Neodiprion lecontei: one gene and its partner. The protein of the gene in region 1 binds, or shares a complex with, the protein of each later gene. Links are inferred from orthologs where the notes say so. Each region holds a gene or a part of one and is shown in the gene's direction. Other genes may lie near its edges. The genes, in order: protein unc-80 homolog and sodium leak channel non-selective protein.

Region 1 (5,036 bases):
TCACGAAGCTACACGTCCAACCAGTTCAGTAGAAACTGATCGTTGTCAAGTGGGAAACAACAAAGATTGTTGTACAGCATCAACATTGGATAGCAAGATGAAAGAATCTCAACGCAAAACATCTGATTACAAGGAAATGCTTCCGGCTGACGATGAATTTAAGTTGATGACTGGGTTCACGGAAAATACTATCAATGTATTGGATGAACGTAGAAAACTGAATATCGCACGCGATAAACGCTGCAGAGATATTGCCAATAACGATCGTCTGCAAACAGCGGACACTTGTGAACATAAAAATATTCGTAACAATGTAAAACTTGTTGAGAATGTAACCGCTTGTGAGAAACCTTTGAAAGAAGAATCAAGAGCGTCACCTTCGCAAAAGAATTTTTATACTTCAAAGGGAAGTTTTTCTTCGATGAACAACAAGGATAAAGCGGTGACCAGTATGAAACAGACGAAAGCGTTTGACGAGTTCCCAAAGAATAGCTTGCAAATGACTTACAAAAACCCAATTACAGTAACATCGTCTGGTAGTGAATACAGCGTTGAGGATCAACGGAAACTTGACATCCGTCAACGGTCATCGTTTAGCAGAAGGCTCGAAAGCGTTTTGCAGCTCAGAGAATCGGAGAAGTTCGAGCGACAGATTGCATACGACGAAATATCATCAAGAGAAATCAGCAGTGATGGCAAAGAGAATCTTGAAGCAAAAGCTCTGCCTATGTACAGAAAAATTCTCGAAAGCAAAGACGAGATGGACTGGGAGGATTTTCAACAGCTCGTAGGAACTCTTCACCCTAGCCAAAGGGAACTTTGGTCCGATATTTGCAAGGCTGTTAGTAACGAGGCTAGAAGAATTTCAGGAGAAACTGGAGCCTCCACGGAAGTGTGCATCGAGATCAACCCTGTACTTACAAGTCAGATGCTACGGTGTGACGAGAGAAGCAGAGTGAAAACTTCTGAAAATGAACTAAGCTTCGAAATAGACATGGTTTTGAGCGATTCCGAAACGCCTGTGAACCAGCAATCGAATTGCAGTCGAGAAACTTCTTATGAGTGTGAAAAGTGCGAAGAAATCCCGCGAATATAACCATACGGTCATATTTGTTAACTTGAGAGTCAGTTTTATCTTTTGGAGTCGGAGTCTTAAACACGCCATCGGCAAATCAAACCAATCCACCACATCATCGTAATTTCCCTGATTGAAAATATTCGAGTATCCTGTATCATATACAGGGTACAGTAAACTCTGTTGATCGAACGTATCGTATAAATAAATCCATTTGTCAAGTCCCTACATCAGGATTATTAGATCATATTATTAGGTATATTGCAGGTGCGTATATAAACTTTAAGGTCATCGGATGAAAATATTGTTATTCCATACATGCGAAACAATGTCCGTCGATGGGTTCTCACACATGAAATGAACCTCAGCAAGTGCTTGTCGATGAATTTTGTTTCCCTCACTTGCTTCTACACCTCGGTAGCAATTGAACCCAGGTTGCGGCGATAAAATCTCAGATATTCTAGCGATACATACAAGAATGGATGTTCCAAATGTTAGAAGCCATTCGTGCGGCAGAAAAACGACTTTCGATAGTTGGATGAAATTGAATTCGAAACAATCGTCACCTTGTTAGTGTATCAACAACGACGATGAAGTGCAAAATTTCCTCATCCCTACAGGGACATCATACAGGTACCAAGGAGACTGTTAAGCATTTTTGTGATCTGCTCTGCACATGCTTAGCCAACTGATCGAAGAAATCATTCCTGCACTGTCTCGACGGGGTTGAAGAAGGTGGGTGGTGGTCCATCGGGCAGAATCCCGGAGAAATCGATGGGCGACGGCGCGTTGGTGTCCTAGTTTCCATAGCGTCGCGCGCACATTCCTCTCATCCTCGTCTTCGTCATCGTCCTTGTCCTCCTCGTTGAGCACTTCGCACCGTTTCATTCCGTTCTGTTCCGTCTCCTCGCGCTATCGTTCAGTTAAGAAATTTTCTGTTGCTCCTACCTGCCGCTGAATCTCAATGCAATCAAACTTTGAAGATGCCTAAACCATTCACTCTCGTGAGTCTTACATTACCCTCCGTTTATCACTGTTTAAACATATTTTTCCCAGACTTTATAAGTGATAAATCCGGTTTACTCGTTTTAACGCAGGTTCATAATCACCACCGTAATTTCGTTATCAATTAACTAAAAGAATAGATTGGAACTAGCGGGAAAGAGGAAAAAACCGCGGTCGTTTATTCAATCGTTATTTATTATTTTAAACAATATCCAATCGCATGAACTATTACACCGAATTCGAAATACAGCAAATCATCTGCGAGTTACTGAAAATGTGTGTCACACACATAGGTGGCTGAATAACGTCTGTGATTGCTTCGGATCCGGTCAGTGTTACGCGATGAATGACTTTTCTGAACGATGAATTAAATTTCCTCGAAATTCCAGCATTCGTGCCGGTGCCCAACTCGACTCTAGCATAAATCGACGAAAATATTTTCAAACCAATTCCGGTTATCTAATTCTTTTTGATCTAACAAAGCGTTATGCGCAATAATCATTGTCCAACGAATATCACGTTGCGTAAGGTGATTCTATTTACTCGTCGCTCCTCGTCGCTTCGCCCCCGTCATTTGCCTAATCGACTCGACAATTCCAGCTATAAGGTAACCGTCAGAAAATACGAAAGATTATCTCCGAATTTAGTACAGTCGTTCAGTTTCGAATAATGGTACGTACGCGATTTGTAACTCGGATTTATAAACAGATCGGTATGTTGACGCTTAGCTGGGCGTTTATATGCGTATTATCCGATATCTGAGCAGAGCTGTCACGCAAATTTTGGTTGGTTCCTGGCGGCGAATCCATTCTTATCAGCTGCAGCCTCCGCTTAGGGTAAGAGGATCAGGAGCAGTTAGGTGACTTGAGGTGTGTACAACGGAATCATGACAGGAGGCATTATTATTTTCACCGAGTATCGTGATATTTATTGTTATTGATAAAACTTTGACCGAGTGATGCGACCCTTAATTAATTATATCGATAGTAAATTCACTATCCGACATCGGGACTGTGTAATCATCGACTCGCCTTGAGTGGTATGGCTCGGTTTATTGAAAACTAAACATCAAAGCTAGAACTCGGGACCAATCAACACGCATTTCCTCTTAATGAAGGCTAAAAGCTTCAGGAGTCCGTGGGTGGATCAGATGACTCTATAAATAGGCGAACGAGACCGGCGATGACAATGGTCAATCTAAATGCTTTTCGTCGGGTAATGAAAGTTCGGGAAACCCCGGATATATACTATTACGAACAATAATACGAGGTATTCGGACGCGTGAATTATCCATGCAAAATACTTCTATTTCTCACTTTTGTGTCAATCACGCCATCTTAAGAAGGCAAAATATATCCACACGTTATGCGAAGCGTCAATAGAACCGGTTTTACAAGTCAGGAACTCGAGACAATGGTCAGACAAACATCGCCCTCAACAACGAAAATTCGAAATTTGAATAACGATAAATCAAAAAAAATTTTACCATGTTATGGCATCGAAATATATGTTACAAGTTACTCTAATAGTATAAATAATTTCATACGCATAATACAGCAATCTTTGATCCAATTGCGCAGTGTACTTTCCACTATTTTCATTGAGTTTACGGTGGGGATGATTGGTGATCAATTATAATACATTCCAGAGTACAGTATGAGATAAATTCCGAGTGGCAAACATGGAAAAACGCCGGTCCATCGATGACAGCTTGCATGATCAAGCCTTGCCGATTCCAATACAGACCTTTCTCTGGAGACAAACAAGGTGAGAATGATATTTTCTTAACGGTTTAAATGTTTCAAAAAATTTATATTTATTTCGAATCTTCATCAACAAATCGTCGTATTAAAACTTGATCTTCCTTAGTCCGTTCATACGAGCCAAGCTTGGAAAACTCCATGAAGCATCATGTATGGTAAGATGCACGCTACGTATATTTCAGCGAAAATGTAAACATTTGATCGAACCCTAATCGACATGTTCTTGTTAAAATGTTAAATAAAGTTAACAGACTAAAAATACTGACACACGCTTATTTGTATATACATACAATTGAAAAAATGCTGATAAATTATAGACGATAGCATCATATTGCTTGCACTTGATATTATTGCTGGTAACGTGTGCTTACTTCCAACGTTGCGTAAAATGTGATTTTATTTCCTACAATGCCGATTATAATTTGAGAGATAGCTATCGATCGTTATTTTTTTTTTTAAATATTTTCTCCCACCTCATTATACAGTCATCGATGGACTTTTTAGAAGTAAAAACTGGATCCGAACTGTATCTTTGAAACTTGCAATCATTTCACGACATCTGAAACGGTAAAATTCTTAACGGATTATTGTATTAAATTCTTATAATTCGATTAAAATTAACTTTTATATACGTTTTGTTCCGATGTTATTTTTCTTATGTTAATTTTAATGAAAATTTTTAGCCTTCACCTGTCACAACACACGTTTCAGCAATAACTTATAGACCATGTACGCAGAAAATGAGCAACAGAAAGGCAAGCTAGTTAAATTGCACTGCGATAAAAGTAAAGATAAAAATCCCATACAAATTGGGAAGCATCGTTTAAGCAATTTGATGGTGTTGTGTGATTCTATGGCTGACCCCTCATGGCTGACACCTGTACACCTACGTTTTACCCTGTGCCTGACTTGCACTAACAAAAAACTACCCTCTCCACCATGTGGCCACCTCCAATCGTCACCTGTCCGCAGTTCTGTCAACGTGCGCCCGGCCATCATGTAAGTTAGCTTTGCTCTGCTTTTTATCATTTTGTGGCGTGTGAATACTTACCCGCTTACCATACCGTTATGACTCCTTTCAAAATTTAGTTTCTGGATTTCTACCGTTAGCCTTTGAGACGTGCATGTGATGAGTAAATTATCTAATACGTGTTGAATCCTTGCACCCCCCCCCCCCCTCCCCCCCAGTTTCA
Region 2 (5,123 bases), on another chromosome or scaffold:
TGGTAAGTTCTGAAATTTATTTTGATACTTGCCTTTGTGACAAATTTTTTCAACACCCTTAAAAGAAAGCTAACAGGTGTTTATGAATAACATTTGAAGAAGTATATACTTAAGTACTTTCGATTTAAAGTAATGTTTGAAACTGTATGCTAATGTACGAAATCTAGATTTCGATACTAATTACCAAGCTCCGAACATTGAATAACGACACACATCACGCGAATACCACGCTTTAGAAGTCAGTTCCAACTTTTGAGACCTTCTTGCTACTTTTAATAATTTTCATTGCAAAATTGAATGTGTGGAACATTATTTTGGGGGTGTAAATCAATTTTAATTGATGTTATGCATGAGGGGAGATTTGCCTATTTGTCGGAACCAAGTCAATTTATGAGCTCAAACCCAATCTGTAAGTAATTATTTTTCAAAATTTGCCACTTTGGAATTATAGGCATTGTCGGGAGGACAGGATCAGGGAAGAGTTCCCTTACAGCAGCCTTATTCAGGCTAGTCGAGTTGACGGAGGGAAAAATAGAAATAGACAATGTTGATATATCAGAAATAAACCTCGGTCACTTAAGAACAAAACTTTCGATCATCCCACAGGACCCAATACTGTTTAACGGAAGTATAAGGTATGTGTTCGTTGCGATTCAAAATACATGCAACTCGTTGTTGTGTAGTAAAGCGCACAGAAAAAGAGAGCATCATACATGTATACCGCGAGTATTATAGGCAGACATTTCGACATCAGTTTTCAGCTATCTCTCTCAGTTTGTAAATAAGGTACGAGTGCGTGTTCTATTATTATGAGAGTGTAGGGCTTGGAACATTGTACTAATGTTTACGTCAACGAAACCTACTCAACTTGCTTCTATGATGCACTGGACTTAAACTTTCAGATCGAATCTGGATCCATTCAAACGTTACACAGATTCAGAAATATGGCTAGCGCTTGAAAAAACCAAACTGAAGAATAGAGTACAATCGATCAATGGTCATCTTGACGCATCTGTTGGGTATGGAGGAGACAATTTAAGCGTGGGTGAAAGGCAGCTGCTTTGTTTATCAAGAGCATTGCTCAGGGAGTCTAAGGTTTGTTACTTAACTGCATATACAAGAAAATTCAACATCTTTGTGCATCGATGTGTTAGTACTTTAAAACTGAAGATATACCATTTATTTTAGATACTTGTTATGGATGAAGCAACTGCCGCTGTAGATCCAGAAACTGAGATTGCTGTTCAGACTACAATTCAACAGGAGTTTTCTTTCTGCACGATACTGATCATAGCACACAGGCTACAAACTGTTTTGTTCCTTGACCGAGTCCTCGTTATGAACAGCGGCAAAATATTAGAATTTGATAAGCCGTATAATCTTCTTAAAGACCCAAATTCTGAATTTTCTAAAATGATAGCAGGTGCTAATACAGTAGAAAACAAATGAAGAGCTATTTTTTTTTTGCAATAGCTTATGGCAGTATTAGAGACGATTACATCCACATACAGCATAAATTTCCAAGTTATGTCTAGTAATCGAATTGTATCTGAACCCGTTGAAACATGCTTGAAATGAGAACAAACTTCAACCACCAAAGATTCAAGAATTACTACTCTATTTACCACTCGTGGCAGGGAAATATATTCTCAGTTGCATAACTATTTACAAATGTTGTACAATTAGTATTATAGAAATGAACAATTGAGCAGAAATACTACGATAAAAAAATACGTGTTCAAAATGATTTAATCATTTTCAACGATTCCAGCATTACCGGTTTAGTAATTTCTAATTGTATTTTATTGTTTTATATTATCCTTAAATAAGTAAGTTAAGATAAATCAAAGTTTCTTAATTTTTTCATACTAAATTCCAAATTTGTGTCTTCTTTTATTGTTTCCGTATTTGGTCTACTTTTTTCATATCTGTAAGTATTATATGTTATGTTTCAAGTATGTAAATGAAACAAATCAATATAACAGTTACTGTAGCTACGTACAATCAAGTTCATATTACAATTCGTCACCTAATGTTGCATGTCTCAACAAATTTCTTCAGTAAAGAGAAATCGCGTATAAACTGCAACTTAGCGTTTCTAATATTGATTTTCAAATTGGTGCTGACTGCTCATGCCCAGCATCCCAGCTGGCTGTACCTGCCCTACAAAATGATCACCATGCCACTACCTTGTTATTATTAAAATGTTTATTAATCGTTGAGTTTTGTTGTTATTTTATACAAAATGTAGTTTATACGAATTGCCGTGAAGGCAGAGTTTATTGGTTGACCAAATTGTTACAAGAACGGTAAGACTTTGATTATATTGAACGAGTTGTGAAAGAACAAATGCATTCTTATACCCCATAATTATCTTTTTATACCCAAAACTGTGTACAATTTTTTAATATTCACAATTTGTTCACTTCCTTCTATCTTGGTAAAAAAAACTACAATTATTTCAAATCTACTGAAATTACCAACTGTCACTTTCATCACTTAACGAGACGCAACTAATGATCTTGATCAACAGTTGCACCCAGTTCGAAATGATTTATTGAACTGTATTTGAGCTTTATTAAAATATTCTATATAATCGTATTGCAAAAAATAGTAAAAATCCTCCTTAACAAGATCAACTTATCTCTCGTTTACCGTATAAGAAGCATATTGACCATTCAATTTCATTGAAAAATGTTTCATATCTACACATTTTATACTATCAAACTCGTTCTAAATGTGTAGATTAAGCAGAGCTAGATATTAGAAAGAAATATGTCAGACCGCTTATGTTTTCAAAATAATTTTCAGCTAGTGTTTTGACAATACATAATAGCGGTGAAATTAGAACGTCACGTGAGTATGGGAGTTAAATCATTGTGTTTGAAAGCTGGATGTTAATATGCTTGTGTATGTGTCTATTTACGTTTTACCTTAATAATATATGTCGACACACATTCATTCGTCATTAGATTACAAACTGATCGATACTCCATTTGAGAAATAATTCTGACTGTACCTGAATGTCGTTATTTTAACTAATAGTTAAATTCCAAATCATTCTTCAACCTATTGGCCATAGATCAATCATCATTTTTTATGTGATTAAGTGTCCACTAGTAACGTGTCAAGTATCAGAGACTGATTGTCTGATCTACTAACATCCATGCACCTAATAATAAATGGGCAGAGTGTTGAATGTTGTTTATCAAGTTATGGTGGCGTTGTAATGCATCCAAATAATTTAAACATTTGTTTTTTAGGCTTCACCATTGCGAATATAATACCTATTATGATGTTGGGGAGGAAGCAGAGCCTCAAAGGAGAGCCTGTTCTGGCAGATTACGGTCCAGAAGAGTGTCTGAACGAAAGTGCAGATATCGAATGGGTCAACAAAGTGAGAACAATATATGAGAAAGTATAAAAGAATGATGGAATTAAAGTGACAATGTTCCTTATTTTGCTTTGTAGCTATGGGTTCGCAGGCTGATGAGGCTTTGCGCTCTAGTATCGCTAGCCTCTGTCTGCCTTAACACACCAAAAACTTTCGAGAGGGTACCTCCACTGCAGTATGTCACCTTTGTGTGCGATTTGGTTGTCACATTTCTATTCACTGCCGAGATGATTGCCAAGATGCACATTCGTGGCATACTGAAGGTCAGAACAACTGTGAGAACTATTTTTATTACTAATATGTGTCGTTTTGTGCTTCCCTGTTGTTGATAAAAAAAAGTTATTAAATATATCTTATGCACTAATTCGTAAAAAAACCTCGTTATGTTCAGCCAAGCAATATAGTTATGCTGCCAGCTTTTAGTCTTGAAATAGCTTAATAATGAAAGTCAATCTCCACGATATATGTTAAATTATCAAAAACTATAAAACTCTGCAATTTTCTTTATTGTTCAAAAATATGTTAAAAGATTTACTTTTGTTGGCTAACTGACAACACAATTTCAATAGAATGCATCGCTTGTAATGTTTGAATGATTATTGATCTGAAAAGTAGTTCTAACAAAGTATTGATGCTGGTAAAAAAGTATGTACTGCATATTTTTCAGAGCTATACCTCGAAATAAATAGCTTCAGTTAGCATTAGAAAACTTGGTGATTTCAGACGTTCCATAGTTGCAATAGCAGAATATGTTCTCAGTCTAGTTCATTTCAGGGTGAAGTGCCTTACTTGAAAGATCATTGGTGCCAGTTCGATGCGAGTATGGTATTCTTTTTATGGCTCTCTGTCATCCTGCAAATGTTTGAGATGCTAGGTCTTGTCTTGCGATTCAGTTATGCATCCATCTTGAGAGCACCGAGGCCGCTGATTATGATTCGCTTTCTTCGTGTCTTCCTCAAGTTCTCTATGCCAAAATCAAGAATAAATCAAATTTTCAAGTAAGAACGTATTATAGATATAATCATGTAATTATAACATATCACTATAGTTTCATGTGAGAATGTAGTGGAGTTCAATGACTTAGATTTTCTAGTACAGAGAAAATAACATACCGATAAATATATAGATTTTTGATACTTTGTCACATGTGATATACTTATACATGGAATATTCATTTTCAGACGATCAAGCCAACAAATTTACAATGTAACGTTGTTCTTCCTTTTCTTTATGTCTCTTTACGGATTACTGGGAGTACAATTTTTTGGGGAGCTAAAAAATCACTGTGTTCTGAACACAACAGACTCAAATCATATTACGATAAATAGCTTAGCAATTCCAGACACTTTTTGTTCTACGGATCCAGAATCTGGGTATCAGTGTCCTGAGGGTATGAAGTGTATGAAATTAGAACTATCCAGGTATATTATGGGTTTCAATGGATTTGACGAGTTCGGTGAGTGTGAAATAAAAGTATGCATTCATCAAAATTAACAAGTCACTATCAAAAATTAGGTATGATCGAATCTGCTTATTTTAGCGACTAGTATTTTCACCGTCTATCAAGCGGCGTCTCAAGAAGGATGGGTTTTCATCATGTACCGAGCTATTGATAGTCTGCCAGGTTGGAGAGCAGCCTTCTACTTCAGCACTATGATCTTTTTCCTAGCATGGCTTGTGAAAAACGTTTTCATAGCCGTAATAACTGAAACGTTCAATGAAATTCGGG

Evidence for each region.
Region 2: the proteins of protein unc-80 homolog (region 1) and sodium leak channel non-selective protein are in contact, whole or in part, in a cryo-EM structure (PDB 7SX3), measured with the Homo sapiens proteins. The link is inferred for Neodiprion lecontei from reciprocal best matches to the Homo sapiens genes UNC80 and NALCN. Residues at the interface, in NP_115893.1 of Homo sapiens: Lys1979, Asn2004, Glu2005, Cys2006, Asp2007, Leu2128, Arg2129, Leu2130, Pro2131, Pro2134, Arg2135, Ile2138, Asp2139, Phe2142, Phe2145, Ser2146, Glu2179, Asp2184, Glu2185, Met2187, Leu2188, Asn2191, Asn2194, Ile2198, Leu2199, Glu2202, Ser2226, Leu2227, Ser2228, Gln2231; in NP_001337678.1 of Homo sapiens: Asn639, Met643, Val644, Ile646, Lys648, Leu649, Pro650, Phe653, Val655, Pro656, Lys657, Ile658, Arg659, Glu660, Phe662, Met663, Lys664, Gln665, Phe666, Ile667, Arg669, Val711, Ser713, Arg715, Ala716, Arg717, Leu719, Lys722, Glu723, Ala725.

The regions. Positions count from the first base shown.
Region 1 is NC_060260.1:11,412,673-11,417,708, reverse strand, and holds the start of protein unc-80 homolog, read left to right. Parts: upstream 1-1,956; 5' UTR 1,957-2,079; intron 2,080-3,728; 5' UTR 3,729-3,761; coding exon 3,762-3,847; intron 3,848-3,949; coding exon 3,950-3,998; intron 3,999-4,815; coding exon 4,816-4,842; intron 4,843-5,036. UniProt on the Homo sapiens protein: Auxiliary subunit of the NALCN sodium channel complex, a voltage-gated ion channel responsible for the resting Na(+) permeability that controls neuronal excitability.
Region 2 is NC_060261.1:28,731,012-28,736,134, reverse strand, and holds the start of sodium leak channel non-selective protein, read left to right. Parts: upstream 1-1,872; 5' UTR 1,873-2,309; intron 2,310-2,811; 5' UTR 2,812-2,856; intron 2,857-3,263; 5' UTR 3,264-3,292; coding exon 3,293-3,397; intron 3,398-3,471; coding exon 3,472-3,657; coding exon of another isoform or gene 3,658-3,669; intron 3,670-4,153; coding exon 4,154-4,392; intron 4,393-4,575; coding exon 4,576-4,850; intron 4,851-4,934; coding exon 4,935-5,123. Other genes in the region: ATP-binding cassette sub-family C member 5, read left to right, coding at 1-2, 452-635, 903-1,095, 1,189-1,449. UniProt on the Homo sapiens protein: Voltage-gated ion channel responsible for the resting Na(+) permeability that controls neuronal excitability. NALCN channel functions as a multi-protein complex, which consists at least of NALCN, NALF1, UNC79 and UNC80.